Linked DNA regions of Sus scrofa. The protein of the gene in region 1 binds, or shares a complex with, the protein of each later gene. Links are inferred from orthologs where the notes say so. Each region holds a gene or a part of one and is shown on either strand. Other genes may lie near its edges.

Region 1 (3,500 bases):
TTCCCAATGTGAAATACATATGAATATGGCGGTAGTTCTCATCAAGCCCACCTGTCCCTTCTGCAGAAAGACCCAGGAGCTCCTCAGCCAATTGCCCTTCAAAGAAGGGCTTCTGGAATTTGTCGATATCACAGCTACCAGTGACACCAACGAGATTCAAGATCATCTCCAACAGCTCAAGGGAGCCAGAACAGTACCTTGGGTCTTTATTGGTAAAGCGTGTATAGGTGGATGCATGCACTGATCCAGTAAGTATGCACTAGAGAGGGGAGCTCTTGACCCGCCTGGAGCAAATTGGAGCTCTGAAATAGTTACAGAGCAGACCCAGGCTGCTGGAGTCTGATAGCCCCCTTGAGAGCTGGATGGCAGTGCAGATAATGACAGCGCTTCCTGGTGGATGGACACAGGGCTACCTTCACCCAGCTGCAACAACTGTTTACTTAAAATTCTGAAATGTGTTAACCCAAATAATTGGGGGGGGGAGTGGGATTTGGGGGGAAAAACCAGATTTTTCTTCTGACTCCATTATTAAAAGTGGATCAACTTGCCCCCCCCCCCAAGAGGCCTAATTCTCTACAGGCTGTATGAATAGCCTAACATGCAAAACAGTACCAATTGTTATGCAAAGTATACTCACCTGCTTTCCATCCACCTCGATATCTGCAACATAGTTTTCAAACACGGTAGGTACATATACCTCCGGGAATTGGTCCTTGCTAAAGACAATGAGCAAACAAGTCTTGCCACAGGCTCCATCACCAACAATCACCAGTTTCTTCCTGATGGCAGCCATTGCTGAAACATAAAATCAAAGTGTTGTCTAGAATGCACAAGAAGCCATAATAGTCTCAGGCCATGACAAATACTTTTCTGGCCATGTGGCACAAGCCTTTATTAACACATCAAAATACAAAATGCTGGAGTTCCTGCTGTGGCTCAATGGGATTGACAGTGTCTCTACTGCTCATGGGCTCAGGTTTGATTCCCAGCCTGGTGCAACGGGTTAAGGACATGGTGTTGCCACAGCTGTGGCGTAGACTCCAACTCCAGCTTGGATTGCCTGAGAACTCCATATGACACGGGGTGGCCGAAAAAGGGGGGAAAAAAAAGAAAATAAAACACCAGTATACCTTTCCACTTAGGACCAGTAAGTCATATCAAAAACCTATAACTAACATTATACTTAATGGTGAAAAGACTAAAAATTGTCCTGCAAGATGAGGAACAAGACAAGAATGTCCACTCTTTTTTTTTCTTGCCTTTTCTAAGGCTGTACCCATGGCATATGGAGGTTCCAGGCTAGGGGTCAAATCGGAGCTGTAGGCGCCAGCCAGAGCCACAGCAACGCAGGAGCCAAACCACGCCTGGGACTTACACCACAGCCCACAGCAACGCCAGATCCTTAACCCACCGAGCAAGGCCAGGGACTGAACCTGCAACCTCATGGTTCCTTGTTGGATTGTTAACCAATGAGCCATGACGGGAACTCCAAGAATGTCCACTCTTGACACTTCCATCCAACATAATATTAAAAGTTCTGGCAATTAGGCAAGAAAATGAAATAAAAGACATTCAGATCAGAAAAGAAGAAGTAAAATTATCTTAATTTGCAGGTGACATGATATTATACATGGGAAATCCTAAAGGATCCACTAAAAAACTATCGGAACTAATAAATTCAGCAAGGTTGCAGGATACAAAGTCATCACACAAAAAGCGGAGTTCCTATTGTGGCTCAGCAGTTAACGAACCCGACTAGTATCCAGGAGGATGCGGGTTTGATCCCTAGCCTTGTTCAGTGGGTTAAGGATCCAGCATTGCCCTGAGCTGTGATGCAGTTTGCAGAGATGGCTAGGATCCCACGCTGCTGTGGCACTGGTATAGGCCGGTGGCTACAGCTCTGATTGGGAACCTCCATATGCCACTAATGCAGCTCTAAAAAAACAAAACAAAACAAAACAAATCAATTGTATTTCTATACCCTAGCAATGAACAAATTGAGAATGAAATTAAGATTTTATTTACAATAACATCAAAAAGAATAAAATAAGAATAAACTAAGCACAAGAAGTACAAAACATACTCTGAAAACTTAAATACTGTTAAATGGGAATATCCTACAAATTAATCTACAGATTTAACACAATCACTATCAAAATCCCAGCTAGCTTCTTTGCAGACACTGACAAGTGATCAGAAAATATGCATGGAGGGAGTTCCCTGGTGGCTTAGCAGGTTAAGGATATGGCATTGTCACTGCTGTGGTTTGGGTTCGATTCCTGGTCCAGGAACTTCTGCATGCTGGGGGAACAGCCAAAAAAAAAAAAAAAAAAAAAAAAGAGAGAATGGAAATTCAATGGACTCAGAATGGCCAAAACCATCTTGAATAAGAGCAAAGTTGCAGGACTCACAATTCCTGATCTTAGAACTTACTCTAAAGCTACAGTAATCAAGAAAGTGTTGCACTGTTGTAAAGACAGACAGATATACAGCAGAAACTGGCACAACACTGTAAATCAACTATATTTTAATAATAATAATAATAAAAAAAAAGATATGAGCTGCCGCTGTGGCGCAGAGGAAATGAACCCAACTAGTATCCATGAGCATGCAGGTTCAATCCCTGGCCTTGCTTAGTGGGTTAGGATCCTGTGTTGCCATGAGTTGCTGTGCAGGTTGCAGATGTGGCTCGAATCCTGCATTTCTATGGCTGTGGCATAGGCCGGCAGCTGTAGCTCTGCTTTGATCTCTAACCTGAGAATTTCCATATGCTGCAGTGTGGCCCTAAAGAGACACTCTCCCCCAAAACAAAACGAAACAAAAAACACATAGATTGGAGTTCCCATCGTGGAGCAGTGGTTAATGAGCCCAACTAGGAACCATGAAGATTTCAGTTCAATCCCTGGTCTTGCTCAGTGGGTTAAGGATCCGGCGTTGCCGTCAGAGACGCAGCTTGGATCCCGCTAGATTAGACCCCTAGCCTGGGAACTTCCATATGCCGCGGGTGCGGCCCTAGAAAAGACAAACAAACAAAACACACAGATCAATTGAGTAGAACTGAAGAGTTTAGAAATAAGCCCTTGCATTCAGGGTCAAGTGATTTTCAACAAGGATGCCAAGACAATTCAATGGAGGAAGAAACAGCGTTTTTAACAAATGGTGCTCAGACAACTGACAACTGAATAGATACATGCAAAGAAAGGAAATTAGAGCTCACATCAGATGAAAACTAGCTCAAGATGGACTACACTCCCAAACATAGGAGCTAAAACTGCTGAATGTTCTTAAATTTAAAAAAACAGTAGGAGTTCTTGTCGTGGCTCAGTGGTTAACGAATCTGACTAGGAAACATGAGGTTGCGGGTTCAATACCTGGCCTCACTCAGTAGGTTAAGGATCCAGTGTTGCCATGAGCTGTGGTGTAGGTCACAAACGTGGCTTGGATCCCGAGTTGCCACAGCTGTGGCATAGGCCAGTGGATGCAGCTGTGACTGGACCCCT
Region 2 (3,500 bases), on another chromosome or scaffold:
TGGCTTCTGCATGCCATGGGCACAGTCAAAAAAAGAAAAAAGAGAAAGGGGAAGGCCTCATCATTTTGTTCTTAGTAAAAGAATGAAAACAAAATCAAGACTTTCAGTTTGTGTTACAGTTATATTCTCTCTGTCAGATGGTGTTAGGTCAGTTCGTGCCCCTCTGAGAATCATCTCACGCCAAATTCCAGGTAGAATGCATGAACGGATTGCCTGCTGTGTGTTGGAAATGAGAAGTGTGACTTCCTCAGATAGGGTGGTCCTAGGGGCTGAATGGACTGCCATCTCCTTAGTTCGCTTGGATCTTTCCAACCAGTTCTCTCTCTGGCTTCTGGGAACATTAATTCATGTGGCTCTGTTGTGGCGGTGCCTTTCGAACTTGAACTTGATACCCTTCGCCTGGGGACCTTGTTTACACAAAGACTCTGATTCAGTAGGTCTGAGGTAGAACCCCAGGTAAGCCTTTCTAATGAGACTCCCAGGTGGGCCTGATGCTGCACATTCTGTGCAAGCTGTTATAAGACAGTAATTTGTCCCCGAAGATCTGCAGTCTCCAAGCCTTTTCCTGGCCTTACTCTAAGTCACCTTGTAACTCAGCTTTGATTGGATTATCTCTCCTCAACTTTCCTATACATGAAATATGCTCTTTAGAAAGAAGTACCTTTCTTTTCTTTTCTTTTTTCTTTTTTTTTTTTTTGGAAGGGCAGCTGCTTAGTTGGGTGGCAGGTGGAGTAATGTAGTGAAATAAAGGAAGTGTATTCTTTCACGGGCAGTGGGAAAATCTTCCTTGTTAACAGTGGGTGTCACAATCTGTTCCTTGGTTTCCTGACAAAGCCAGCGTGCATCTTTTGAAAACATTTAGAGGCTGGATCATTTAGACCCTTTGGAGGACTTGTTCTTGTTCCACTTTGCTGCTATTTCTGTTGCTCTAGACTCTAGAGAATAGGTCATTTGCTCTGTTTTTCTTTTCTCCTCTCCTTCTAGGATTTTTCTGATCTCCCAAAACTTTCCCTTTTAGTTCCATTCACCTCAATAAACATCAACTACCTGGGGGTTTTAAATCAAATATTAAAAAAATAGCTAAATTTAGTTTCATCTGGACCTCCAGGAGATTGTATCAGAAACTCCTCCAGAATTTTTAAAAAATAATCTAGAGATAAGTGATTTGGCCAGTATTTCAAGGAGTTAACAACTGGCATGATGATTATCTACTTTTTTTTTTTTTTTTGTCTTTTTGCCTTTTCTAGGGCCGCTCCCCTGGCATATGGAGGTTCCCAGGTCCAAACAGAGCTGTAGCTGCCAGCCTATACCACAGCCACAGCCACAGCAATGCGGGATCCGAGCCGTGTCTGCAACCTACACCACACACAGCTCACGGCAACGCCGGATCCTTAACCCACAGAGCGAGGTCAGGGATCGAACCCACAACCTCATGGTTCCTAGTCGGATTCCTTAACCACTGAGCCACGGCGGGAACTCTGATTATCTACTTTATTGGCATGAGCATGGCGGACTTACGCACTCAGCACCCTGCCTTGGTCCCATTTTTTTTTAGGTTGAAAAATGTTTTAATATATATCATTAACATATTTATCTTTATGCTAATGCAGTACTAAACTGTAATTTTGAATATTATTATTTTTTGGTCTTTTTAGGCCTGCACCCGTGGCATATAGAGGTTGCCAGTCTATAGCACAGCCACACCAATGCCAGATCTGAGCTGCATCTGCAACCTACACCTCAGCTCACGGCAGCACCAGATCCTTAACCCACTGAGCGAGGCCAGGGATCGAACCCACAACCTCATGGATACTAGTCAGGCTTGTTTACCACTGAGCCATGTCGGGAACTCCTGAATAGTATTTTTTATGGAGAAAGGGAGCTAGGAAGGCAAATGAGTTGAGGACCCATTCAAGTCACCCTGCAGTTCCCTTTCGGGAAAGGACTTGAACTTGGGCTTGTAGCTCAGTTAAATTCTAAGAAGCTTGGTGTGGGGATTATTGGAATACTTATTATTTTCTGGGAATATTATTGTCTGGGAAGGTGGAAGGAAAACTGAACTTGGGATATAACACATTCACTGCTCTAGGGAGGAAGGTCAGACCTGTCTCTGGAACTCCTGGCAATCGCATGGTCACAGTGTTTCAGATGAAGCATCTGATAAATAAATCTTCTTAATGACCTATTTTAACCATCCTTTTAGGGAGGAAGGGTGTAGAGTGAAGACAGAGTATTTGAAGTTAATCCAATATTTCTGTTACAGAATTTTTTGCTGTCTGGATCATATATTTAACTGTATTTAAAACTAAAGAAAAAGTATCTTCCTTAGAAGACTGGCTTATTTCATGGTGTTTGTTCTTTCTTTTTCCCATGCAGAGAGCACTGAAGAACAGAAAGACTTATGCAAAGCTCTTTGCTTAATTAAAGACATGATTGCAGCCGTGGATTTAAAAGTCAGCGAGTATGAGAAAAAACAAAAATGGCTTGAGATCCTAAGTAAGATCGAAAACAAAACATACACCAAGCTCAAAAACGGCCACGTCTTTCGGAAGCAGGCGCTGATGAGTAAAGAGAGGACCCTTCTGTATGAGGGCCTTGTTTATTGGAAAACTGCAACAGGTCGTTTCAAAGGTACAGTGGCTGGGACAGGCCAATTTCTCCCTCTTTCATGCACCTGATTCATTTAACAGAAGACAGATTACAAAAACCAAACCAAACCAAACCAAAAACAAAGAATGTTTCAGCAATGCAGGCACACACACAAACACCGGGTCAGTGGAAAGATTCCTGTAGGATTGAGTTGGAAAGGTCAACAGACCAGGGTGCCCCAGGCTATAAGCTCTTGGGGGCAGTTTGTTGCCACAAGTGAAGGGCTTCTTAGGTATTGTGTGGGTTTTCAAGTTTGAGATGTTTGAGTCAAAGGAACTGAGAATTCTGCTAATAGTTGGTGCAGAAATATTATTCAGGCAAATGTAGTGTGTTGAAAGTGCAGTGGTACACATACACACCCGGAGTGTGTTGTGCCAAGCGAGCCTGGGGCTCAGACCATCGAGGGGAGAAATGAATTTGAAACATCATCCTTGGGACTGAGCAATGTAATGCATAAATATACATGCTGATGTGGATGTGCTGTTTTCTGTTGGGCATTAACCTCCTAATCTGGTTAACGTCTAAAACAGTTTATTCTGATCCTTTAAGGGCTGACTCTGTAGCTGCACCTTGTCTGAGACTTTCTCTACCCTGGCCACTGGACTTAAAACCCTAGAATGGCCTCTGGAGTGTAAAAAATTTACAGACGCCCAAGTCTCCTCCCAGAGGTTCTGACTTTATTGATGTGAGGATGAAGCCCAGGCATAGGGATGCTGAAAAGTGCCTATGTGAGTTTGAAGGCAGGATTAAGCACAGCTGGCCTGATTTCCTTGTTTCTAATGTATCTTAGTAACTTCCTTAGGTAAGCAATGAGACGAAGAGGTTGCTACATTCCAAGTACCCCAAGGTTG
Region 3 (2,302 bases), on another chromosome or scaffold:
AGCTTCCCCTGGGCAGTGAGTTTGCCCTAAAACCAAAGGAGAGTGGCCTTCGAGAAAACACACAAAGAGAAAAGGGGCAACCCTCTGCTCCTCCCTCCTTCCCCTGACACTTCCAACCAACCATGGGGTCAGCCCCAGGAGAGGACAATTCCCGGTAAGGACCTCACGAGTGCTCTGGCCTCATACCTCAAAGCCCCGAAGTCTCCCCAGGGTCATCATGTCATTGCAGCGCTTGGGTACAAAGCACATGACCTCCACAGCTTGCTGGGACACAGGTAAAGAGAGGAACATGGTCATGGTTGGGAAAGAGGCCTCATCGGACCATGTTTCGACCCTCAATCAGCCTCCTCCTAAAAATGAGGCCGCTCTACACCACCCAAGGAGCTGGAGGAATCCAGGACACGAAGAAGATAAGGTGGGCATGATGTGTCCCATGAGATCTGGGGTCCTCACCTCCAGCTCTTCGGTATCCATCCCAGCTCTACTATAATACTTGAGAAAATCCTAAGACACAGAAAAGAAATGCTCAGGGAGACCATGAGGACGTCCTGCCCTGGGGACACAAGTGCAGACCCTCAGGAAGTCTGGGCAGGGAGCCTGAGGAACCCTGGGGAGATGAATGAGGACAGGGCCATCCCAGCCAGCTGTGCCCCCAGGGAACAGGTGGCCCTGACCTTGAGCAGCAGCTGGTATTTCATGATCCTCTGCACTGGTTTGATGAGGAGGTCATTGAGCTGCAGGCGGTGCCCCAACTGCTGCCGGAGCTCCTGGGGACAGGGACAGACAGAGTGGTTTTGCAGCCTGGAAAGCCTGCTCGTGCTGATGATTCTGTTCCCCTTCCCCCAAGGCATCTCGGCCACTGACCTCAAAGTAGCTGTCCCCAAATTCTGACACCACATGCTCGGACTTGGGTTTATTCTGACAGTAAACCACATACATATGCAGCCGGCGCTCCTAACAGGGGTGAAATTTAAGAAAGAGTAGAGTGAGTGACGAGAGGGCATATCGCCAGAGAGCCCTGACCCACTCCCAGAGCCCACTTCTCCTGGGCCCCCACCCTCTCAAGGCTCACATGTTTGATGAATAGCTGAGCCAGCCAATCAGGATCCTTCAAACACCGCTGTAACTCCTGCAGGAAATAGCTGCACCGGTAGGCAGGGAAAAGGCAGGTCAAACACCCTCACCCCAAGCAATCCAGAGCTCTCTGCCCTAGTAGTGTCCCCCACAAGTCTCTCCAGACATTCTTCAAGCAACACTGGGTCCATGGGTAGGATACAGACAAATGCCCTTCCCCCTCGCCCTCAGGGATCCACCACTCACTCTCGATGCCACTCGTAGATTTGCTGGATGTTCCCAAACACGATCCTGTCACGGCCTCGGAGATTCTCAGGGACCCCCTGAGCAGCCATGGTGGCCATATAACCCTGTGGGAAGGTTGGGTGGGAGCATCTGTGTGTGATGCCAGCCCTGGCAGGAACCTCCCCTCCCCAAGAAGTCCAGGATGTAGGGGAGCCTGCGAAAGTGGGAGAGAGGAGCACCAAGGCATCCCCTAACATTAGCCCTGGGGAGAGGGAAAGGGCAGGGCCAGGGCTGGGAAGGAAGAAGGGAGCTACCTCCACAATCTGCCCCAAGTCGTCCACATACATTTTCTCTGTCTCTACCAGTTCACTCAGGACATACCTGGGAAGAGAACAGGTTAAGCCACTTCCTCCCTCCTGGACTAGAAGCCCCTTGGTTCCTACAGCCAACCTCAGAGGAAATTTCAAGTCTCAGATCTAAAATGCGAGAGACAGACATCTGGAAGTCGTGAGGGGTCTCGGGAAGGGAGAGTGTGCGGACACTTACATACTCCTTTCCAGAGCCTTCTTCTTCTGTTCCTCCTCATTCTCAGAAGCTTGGGATAAAGTCTCCTCTTCAGGTGGCTGGAAGGACGAACAACCTAGAGTAAGCAAATGGACGCTCTTGGGAGAGAGGAGCTAGCCCAGACTCGTTTCTTCATACCTGCGTCTTATCCTGAGGCCCCCCCAACAAGGTGGTCAGCAGGGTCAGTTCTGGCAGCTCCTCTCCTGTAGCTGGAGCTGGTTCCAGCATCCAGTTCTGGGGGCCAGAAGTCAGGGACAGTAGCTGTGTCTCCCCAGTGACTAGTGGCCCCCTGGATGCCCTCTCTCCCAGGGTCCTTTGTGGATGTCCTACATGCTTCTGTGGTGTTCCCTGCTCACCTCGTATGGTCCAGCCTGGCCACCATCTCCCTCAGTTTCCACACTGAGACAGTGTTTGGAATGATCCAACCATCTTCTTAGGC

Evidence for each region. The genes of interacting proteins can lie anywhere in the genome.
Region 2: the proteins of RHOA (region 1) and ARHGEF28 are in contact, whole or in part, in a crystal structure (PDB 6BC0), measured with the Homo sapiens proteins. The link is inferred for Sus scrofa from reciprocal best matches to the Homo sapiens genes RHOA and ARHGEF28. Residues at the interface, in NP_001300870.1 of Homo sapiens: Arg5, Val38, Phe39, Glu40, Asn41, Tyr42, Val43, Glu54, Ala56, Trp58, Arg68, Leu69, Leu72; in NP_001171164.1 of Homo sapiens: Lys1140, Ile1142, Arg1144, Glu1145, Val1146, Ala1147, Asn1148, Glu1149, Phe1154, Ile1156, Ala1158, Ser1159, Ser1160, Pro1163, Glu1164, Met1165.
Region 3: the proteins of RHOA (region 1) and ARHGEF25 are in contact, whole or in part, in a crystal structure (PDB 2RGN), measured with the Homo sapiens proteins. The link is inferred for Sus scrofa from reciprocal best matches to the Homo sapiens genes RHOA and ARHGEF25. Residues at the interface, in NP_001300870.1 of Homo sapiens: Arg5, Tyr34, Pro36, Thr37, Val38, Glu40, Asn41, Val43, Asp45, Glu54, Trp58, Asp59, Ala61, Gly62, Gln63, Asp65, Tyr66, Asp67, Arg68, Leu69, Leu72, Pro75, Asp76; in NP_891992.3 of Homo sapiens: Tyr163, Val164, Glu167, Thr171, Met174, Tyr175, Asp178, Cys253, Lys256, Pro257, Glu260, Ser264, Arg275, Arg281, Leu282, Asn285, Asp286, Ile289, Lys290, Val292, Gln293, Arg294, Met296, Lys297, Gln299, Leu300, Leu301, Cys327, Pro330, Lys331.

What each region holds. Positions count from the first base shown.
Region 1 is NC_010455.5:31,928,708-31,932,207, forward strand, and holds part of RHOA (transforming protein RhoA), read right to left. Parts: intron 3,388-3,500; exon of another isoform or gene 3,372-3,387; intron 796-3,371; 5' UTR 794-795; coding exon 638-793; intron 1-637. UniProt on the Homo sapiens protein: Small GTPase which cycles between an active GTP-bound and an inactive GDP-bound state.
Region 2 is NC_010444.4:83,033,254-83,036,753, forward strand, and holds part of ARHGEF28 (rho guanine nucleotide exchange factor 28), read left to right. Parts: intron 1-2,376; coding exon 2,377-2,631; intron 2,632-3,500. UniProt on the Homo sapiens protein: Functions as a RHOA-specific guanine nucleotide exchange factor regulating signaling pathways downstream of integrins and growth factor receptors. Functions in axonal branching, synapse formation and dendritic morphogenesis.
Region 3 is NC_010447.5:22,876,726-22,879,027, reverse strand, and holds part of ARHGEF25 (rho guanine nucleotide exchange factor 25), read right to left. Parts: coding exon 2,220-2,302; intron 2,098-2,219; coding exon 2,002-2,097; intron 1,940-2,001; coding exon of another isoform or gene 1,923-1,939; coding exon 1,846-1,922; intron 1,681-1,845; coding exon 1,614-1,680; intron 1,425-1,613; coding exon 1,321-1,424; intron 1,143-1,320; coding exon 1,073-1,142; intron 955-1,072; coding exon 865-954; intron 768-864; coding exon 675-767; intron 505-674; coding exon 454-504; intron 265-453; coding exon 187-264; intron 27-186; coding exon 1-26. UniProt on the Homo sapiens protein: May play a role in actin cytoskeleton reorganization in different tissues since its activation induces formation of actin stress fibers. It works as a guanine nucleotide exchange factor for Rho family of small GTPases.